Bombyx mori: one gene and its partner. The protein of the gene in region 1 interacts with the protein of each later gene in a pairwise test. Links are inferred from orthologs where the notes say so. Each region holds a gene or a part of one and is shown in the gene's direction. Other genes may lie near its edges. The genes, in order: protocadherin-like wing polarity protein stan and frizzled-7-B.

Region 1 (3,832 bases):
TAAAATGACACAAAAAAAAAATGTTATTTTGACGACAATCACAAATTGGAATACAAGTAAAGACTCTTCGAGCTGGGACGCTTTTTCTTATTGCACCATATACATAGTGTGTTTTTTTTTCATTATAAATATGCTAATTTTATTTTAGGATGTTCGTATTGGAACTGCTCAGTCGCTTCTCAATCGGCCAACGGTCAGAGAAAACGTGAGGGACGGCTGCCAATCTAGAGCCGATTGCATGCTGTCAATATGTCCTCCTTATGTGAGTTTAAAATTTAAATTTACATTGTCAAATACACTATTGTGCTAGGTTCATCGTAACGCCTACGGCCGTCTGGTGTAGTGGTAAGTGACATGGTCACCACACAAGGGGGTCGCGGGTTCGAATCCCGCCAAAGGAAGATATTTGTATGATAAATATAAAATGTATTTTCCAGGGTTATGGATGTATATTATATACATCCATACGGTAGGCAGCCGCTTAGCTCTGCCCCTGGCATTGCTGAAGTCCATGGGCGACGGTAACCACTCACCATCAGGTGGGCCGTATGCTTGTCTGCCTACAAAGGCAATAAATAAAAAAAAAAATGTATGTGTATAATAAAAATCTTACATTTATTTCCGTTATTTGTTACCTGTAACACAAGTTCTTTACGAACTTAGCACGGGACCAGTTAACGTGGCGAGCTTGTTAGTAAATATTTATTTATTATTTATGACGTGATTACCCCAAGTAGGGCCTTCTCTGAGTTTTCACGAATCAACAAAACCAAGCTGCTCATTTCCACCCCGAATAAATCGTGTGCTTAAAAGACGTGGTATATGTTATGTAATACAGTTAGCAACTACGGAAACCATCATCATGTCAGAAACTTCGTAACGGCATTCACGTTCTGATGTGTATTGGCTCGTATAACTTAACACCAAGTGAGCCTTACAAATTTTCGCATGCACTGAAGTGTACAGTTTATAATTATTTTTGGGATTTTATAACCTAGTAACTAAGACCTTTAAGTCATGTCTTATTTGAATTTATATTCATATTTTTATGAAAAATGATAGTATGAAGTGAAATGAAATGAAGATGATTAATTTGAGACATTAATCAACTGGGATGAAATTAAATGTAATGAGATGAGATGTTATGGGATGAAATATAATCTCAAAAAAATGGTGGGCATTTACTGAGATTTTTTCAGTGGACTTTTTGGAGGATCCCGAGAAGTGACGTCCAGCGGCTTTGTTTCATTTTCCCACATTTGTGCACTTTCACAGATATTAAACAGTTAATAAACCACCGTTATTACACATTCAAACCTGAAAAAACACTAAGTAGACAAAATAAAACAAATCACACAACTTCACTCCTCGCGTTCCCGCCAAAAAACTCAGATTATAATCTGAATGCGTTTTGTGTCCAGAGTAAGTGTGTGACGTCATGGGACAGCAGCACGTGTACGTGCGAGGCGGGTCGCGTGGGCCCGCAGTGCGTGTCGGCATGCGAGCTCGGCCCGTGCGGCGCCGCGCGGTGCGTGCCCGACCAAACGCCCAAGGGCTACTCCTGCGCTTGCGAGCCTGGATATACTCTTACCAGTGAGTCCTTCTTTGTGATCATTTCGATTCGTATTTAAAGATTAACAATAAAGAGCAGGCAATGTAAAATGCAAATGTAAAAGATAACCTAATCATTAAGAAGTTGTTAACTTTTTCTCTTAGTACACCATGTAAAGCGTTTTTGAAAACTATGATATATCAATGTTCGTGTTGCAAATGAAATTTAGTGTGTACTATATAAATTGCAATATGAATATTAATTGATATGTTTTCTTTTTAATTCGAACTACATATTTACTAAGTAAAATTATTTCAGCGTCAGGCTGCATAGAATCAGGGAAAGAAGAATGTCCAGGAGGATGGTGGGGTGGAAGCGCGTGTGGGCCGTGCGCTTGTGACGTCACACGTGGCTATCATCCACACTGCAACAAGGAGAACGGAAAATGCCATTGCAAAGTACGCAAGACGTACTTGGTTTTTTATTATAATATATTGATTTTCAAAACCATTATGGTAGAAAAAAAAAGGTTTTCTCGTTTCGTTTACAAACATTCTACTATCTTTACTTGGTATAACTATTTACGAATGTGTAAATATATTTTTTATTTTACATTTTTACATATTTTTTTTATTACAAACAGATAAAACTTAACATTTTTGAACAATGATTGGACTATTTTTGACTGACTTTCCTATTCATTCTGTCATTCATCGATGAAATATGGTAAATTTAATGCGCACAATAAGCTCGGGCTAGGAATATAATCGATGGCTCGAGGGCTTTTTACTCTTAAGTTTTTATTTTATTATTAACATACAATCTCACGGCCTCAATATACAGGGTGATGTTTGATGATGACTTAATCTCCCGTTCGAAAATATTATCATAATATTTTAATTATCAGACAACAATCTCTCGCGTTTTTATCACCAATTAACCAATAATGATTGTCATCTCCAGGAAAACCACTACAAGCCTGAAGGCACGGCGGAGTGTCTCCCGTGCCAGTGCTACGCGGCGGGGTCGGAGAACAGCTCGTGCGAGGCGGCGACCGGCCAGTGCCACTGCCGGCCCGGCGTCATCGGCCGCGCCTGCGACGCCTGCGCCAACGCCTACGCCGAAGTCACGCCCAACTCTGGATGTGAAGGTGACTGTATCGACCATACCCTAGGAGTGAATGACTGAATGAATGAATGAATGAATGAATGACTATACGAGTACTGTCAAACATTTCTTATATTACACTTAATATATATTGATTTACTCCAATTTTTATTGATTTGTGAGTCTACCAGGGTAGGTACCACCGCCCTGCCTATTTCTGTCGTGAAGCAGTAATGCGTTTCGGTTTGAAGGTTGGGGCAGCCGTTGTAACTATACTGAGATCTTAGAACTTATATCTCAAGAGGGGTGGCGCATTTACGTTGTAGATGTCTATGAGCTCCATTAACCACTTAACACCAGGTGGGCTGTGAGCTCGTCCACCCATCTAAGCAACAAAAAATATAATTATCCAATAAATAGCCTTTCACACCGCGATATTATATTAGAAACACTTGTGTTACAGTGGTGTACGACGGATGTCCGCGCTCTTTCGCGGGCGGTGTCTGGTGGCCGCGCACCAAGTTCGGCGTCGAGACCATCACCGACTGTCCCCCGGGTGAGAGCCGCGTCCGGGACCGTCGCCGGTCCCCCGTGACGTAACGCGTGCGATCCTCGCGACGCACTGATGACGTAACGCGTGCGATCCTCGCGACGCACTGATGACGTAATGCGTGCGATCCTCGCAATGCACTGGTGACGTAACGCGTGCACGTACTGTCCAGGTTCGAGCGGCCGCGCGACCAGAACGTGCGACGAAACGAAAGACGTCCCCTGGCAGGACCCGGACATGTTCAACTGTACAACGGCCACTTTTTATCAGCTAAGGAAACAGGTCGGTATTCCATTCGCACAATTCAGTAGTACTCCCCAAGAAACTTTCGCCAATTGAAGCTATTGTATTAATGACTAGTGAAAAAATTTGTCTACGTGTAAATGCATGTAATACACCATTTTTTGCGCCACCTATCGTGCGTTTAAGGTGCGCGAAAATGTTCCTTGAAGTGTGAAAAAAACTGTACCAAGTTTAAAGACAATTACATAAGAATTAAGAATATTCACAAACAACATATAAACAGGAATCACGAAGCTTTTAATAGATAATTGTTTTGACGTGGTGTCGTTTTATAAATCGATCAACACCGACTGCTCGCACAAAAAAGTTTCACGTTCTGC
Region 2 (4,323 bases), on another chromosome or scaffold:
TTCTTCTTACAATTAATTGGGTGAGCATATTTTATATAGGCTTTTAATGATCATATTTATATTATCCAATAAAGATAAAAAGCTTTTTAATTTTTAAATATTTTTTTTATGAAATTTGTTGCAAGAAGCATATTTGGTCCACTGTGTCATCCAGAAGCCTGCTTCTTTTGGATGTTAGCACGTACCCCGACGTCGAAAACATACGTTCGGAAGGCACAGAAGTTGATGGGACTGATAGGTATTTAAATGCTATTTTGTTTAAAGGCCTTAAATGAGTATTGCTCATCCAAAAAGTGCCAGCAATTTCGGTATGGTTTCCTGTGGCGGCTTCAGTCTCAATATAGAATCGTATTATATACACTGCGGCCGCCGTGGCGTTCGGAATATCCCGTTTTCGCGAATGCAAAAAATCCAAAATACCAGGCTTTTTAAAATTGTTTGTGGTTTCTTCTGGCTGTTCCGATGATAAAGCTAGAGTTGAAAATTATTTAGGAAGATTCCCCAGTTCACGACGCACCATCTCTTTTGCAGACAACATGTGCTCTGGTTGACGAAAGCCATTTCTGAGTGTTGGGTGCAGATATGTGGATATTTGGGTCACGGTCCCCATTTCGTACGCTAAAAGTCTACCAACCATATTGTGGTTATTGCACTGTAGTTTTTAAATGTAATGCACGGTAATTTGAGTCTGAAACACGGTTTTTTTAGGTAGCTTGTATATTTGATCTGGTAGCACTGATGTGAACTGTGAATGTAACGCGTAATTAAAAACCGGTATTCTTAAATAAAAACCGGTGTTTATCGGTATGTATAAAAACCGGTTTTTCTCCGGTTTTCTTCGAACTGGTTTACATCCCTATTATACACTTTATATTTAATCGAAGTGACTGCTTTGTTAATCTGCAAATTCATATTTTGACTTTTCATTAACAAATGGTCAGTAATGCTTAATTAATTTATAATAATGCTATCTATCAGGGCAATTAATGGCTCAACTTTGAAAAGTAGAATCGCACTGCCTGTACAGTTATATTTCGGGGATTGTAATTTTTAACTGAGATTAGGATTAAATATTTTATGTTTTAAATGTGTATATTTATGTGTATGTGTACTTATGTAATGTGTATATTTACATCTATTGCAGATCTATTGACACTCCGAACCACAATTTTAAACATGTTTACGTGTTTTATTTATTATTCAAATATATTACCGGCTGTACAAGATCATGACAAAATATAAACACAACTTCATTGAAATAACAATTAATAAAAAAAGTTTTTACTAAACTCATTCATTTAATTTCATTCCAGTTGATTAATATCTCAAGTTAATCATCTTTATTTAATTTCATTTCACTCCATGTTATCTTTTTTTTTTTAAATAAGAATATAAATTAAAAGACGACATGACCTAAAGGTCTTAGTTACCAGGTCATAAAATCCCTTAAAAAAATGTATTTTTGCTTTGGTTACTTGGTACATATTCTCTTCGTACCGTAACTATTTTGTGAATTTCTCGTAATTTCTAACAAAAAAACTTAAGTTTTCAGAAACCAATACTTAAATCAGCTATAGATATTATGTACTAATTAAAGTCTGTCATAATATGCTAATATCAAATAAGAGACATTTTAAAGAGATAAATATTTACATGTAACGTGGGTCAAAATACCACAATTTTAATAAAATGACACTGTACGAAATGTTTTGTGATGAATAACATTTATGTGGTAAACTCTACATGATCAATATGGCAAAATTTTGGAAACATTATGTTATTATATTCAGTCTGTTATGTCTTTTTGCGTTAACAAAAGGTTCTCGAGAGATTGTTTATCAAGGCGATAGTCTACCTCAACATGGACGTTGTGAACCCATTACCATTCAGTTTTGTCAGAAATTGCGTTATAATCAAACCATTTTTCCGAATATTTTAAATCAAGCACGACAAGAAGATGCAGCCGCAAACATGCTTCTGTTTACAACTCTCATTAAACTGAATTGCTCTCCTGATCTAAGATTCTTCTTGTGTTCAGTTTATGCACCCGTTTGCACGATACTAGATTCTGCGATACCGCCTTGTCGTCATTTATGTGAAGCTGCAAAACAAAGCTGTGATGTCGTCATACGAAAATTTGATTTTCCTTGGCCCCCTGAGCTTGAATGTTCTGAATTTCCTGAAGTATCTGATAATAACATATGTGTTGGTGACAATAATACTGCCCATGAATCTCGAAAACGCACTGATACCAAGTTTCGTAAGGTTGACTTCAAATCTAACATGGAGAGAGATCCGACTAGATTGCATGAGTTTGTGTGCCCAGTGCAGTTTAAAGTACCAAGACATTTAGATCTTGAATACTCTTTTAAAGTTGGAAATAGAGTTGAACATGACTGTGGAGCCCCATGCAATGGAATGTTCTTCAGTAAAGATGAAAAGAATTTTTCAAGGCTCTGGATTGGAATCTGGGCAGTCCTGTGTGCACTCAGTTGCCTTTTTACTGTGCTAACATTTTTAATAGATACAGATAGATTCAGGTATCCAGAAAGACCCATAATATTTTTGTCAGTTTGTTATCTAATGGTAGCTATTGCCTACATAATGGGTTGGAGTGCAGGTGATAATATAAGCTGCCAAGGGCCTTTTGTTTCTGCTGTCAGTGGAACAAGATTACCCAACATATCAGTTATCACACAAGGTACAAAACATGAGCCATGCACAATACTGTTTATGATAGTATATTTCTTTAGTATGGCTTCGAGTATATGGTGGGTCATATTAACCCTGACATGGTTTTTGGCTGCTGGCCTAAAATGGGGACATGAAGCAATAGAAGCAAATTCCCAATATTTTCATCTTGCTGCTTGGGCAGTACCAGCTGTGAAGACAATATCTATTCTAGCAATGGGGAAAGTAGATGGTTAGTGATTTTTTTCTCATTTCCATGTGTTCTAATTTTTTTATTAGCATAACAACTTGGATAAAGAATTGTATGTACAACTGGTTTTAAATAATTACTGAATTGATTTCATGACAGTTTAGACATGAGGTCAGTTTCATTTATATCAAATTAATGGCAAACTGGAATATGTGACTGATTCTTGATTGAACTAGGCAAGACAATGTTATTAATCTGTCCAAGCTTACACTACTTGTAGAACAAGTGGTGCAGTATTTTTCATTTTATTGCTTAGATGGGTGGGTGAGCTCATATGGTTACTGACCTAATGTGGTTACTCAATCCCATTGACGTCAACAATGTAAAAGCCATCACCTACATTGAGCTATGGGGTCTAAGTCCCGTTTTATACTAGAATGACAGTCTCACCCTTCAAACCAAAAAACATTACCTTTTTAAGGCAGAAGTAAGCACGGTGGTGGCACCCAATTTTGTATAGGCTCTACCATCCTCAACACCCTACCACCAGTAATTGCACAATTTATTATTATTTTAGTAGTAGAAAGTAAAATCATTCCAACTATTAATTTCAGGTGATGTACTGTCAGGTGTATGTTACGTTGGATTATGGGATGCAGAAGCTTTAAGAGGATTTGTGTTGGCACCTTTATGTGTCTATTTAGTGTTTGGAACAATCTTTCTTCTAGCTGGCTTTGTCTCACTGTTTCGGATCAGAACTGTCATGAAACATGATGGGACTAAAACTGATAAATTAGAGAAACTGATGATTCGCATTGGTGTGTTTGGTGTACTATACACCGTGCCTGCCCTCATAGTCATAGCATGTTTGTTCTATGAACAAGTTAATTTTGACAAATGGATGATTGCATGGCAACGAGACATGTGTTCGATACGACAATACTCAATTCCTTGTCCGATAATTCATGAAGAGATAGAAGGACCAAAGTTTGAAATGTTTATGATTAAATATCTAATGACAATGATTGTTGGTATAACATCTAGCTTTTGGATATGGTCTGGTAAAACTTTGATATCATGGTCTCAATTTTTTGACAAAGTTAAAGGTCGCAGAGTAGAAGCCTATGTGTAATTATTTTAAATGCAGAAACTGCAACTGCAAACAAAAGTTAATGAATGTTTTCATTATATATTATATTTAGATTTATTTGTTTTTGTATAATTATTTTTAGTTACTACATGAATGTATGACAATCCTCTATTTTATTAAACAGTAATATACATCAAACAAGACTGCCATAAATTTTGGAAAGTCATATAAAACAATATTTCTTAGTCACCTTCTACTGTAGCTGCTTTACTTTATAGATTACATGGACTGTTCATTGCTATTGTGATGCAAATTCATTTAACTGTGATATAACAATTTCTAGTTAATTGCT

What was found.
Region 2: the proteins of protocadherin-like wing polarity protein stan (region 1) and frizzled-7-B interact in binary tests that used the Drosophila melanogaster proteins (3 or more experiments, as listed by UniProt). The link is inferred for Bombyx mori from reciprocal best matches to the Drosophila melanogaster genes stan and fz.

Annotation. Positions count from the first base shown.
Region 1 is NC_085128.1:4,497,580-4,501,411, reverse strand, and holds part of protocadherin-like wing polarity protein stan, read left to right. Parts: intron 1-148; coding exon 149-262; intron 263-1,421; coding exon 1,422-1,593; intron 1,594-1,870; coding exon 1,871-2,010; intron 2,011-2,515; coding exon 2,516-2,702; intron 2,703-3,122; coding exon 3,123-3,215; intron 3,216-3,381; coding exon 3,382-3,491; intron 3,492-3,832. UniProt on the Drosophila melanogaster protein: Involved in the fz signaling pathway that controls wing tissue polarity. Also mediates homophilic cell adhesion. May play a role in initiating prehair morphogenesis. May play a critical role in tissue polarity and in formation of normal dendrite fields.
Region 2 is NC_085110.1:8,283,664-8,287,986, reverse strand, and holds the start of frizzled-7-B, read left to right. Parts: upstream 1-1,429; 5' UTR 1,430-1,743; coding exon 1,744-2,923; intron 2,924-3,495; coding exon 3,496-4,013; 3' UTR 4,014-4,323. UniProt on the Drosophila melanogaster protein: Receptor for Wnt proteins.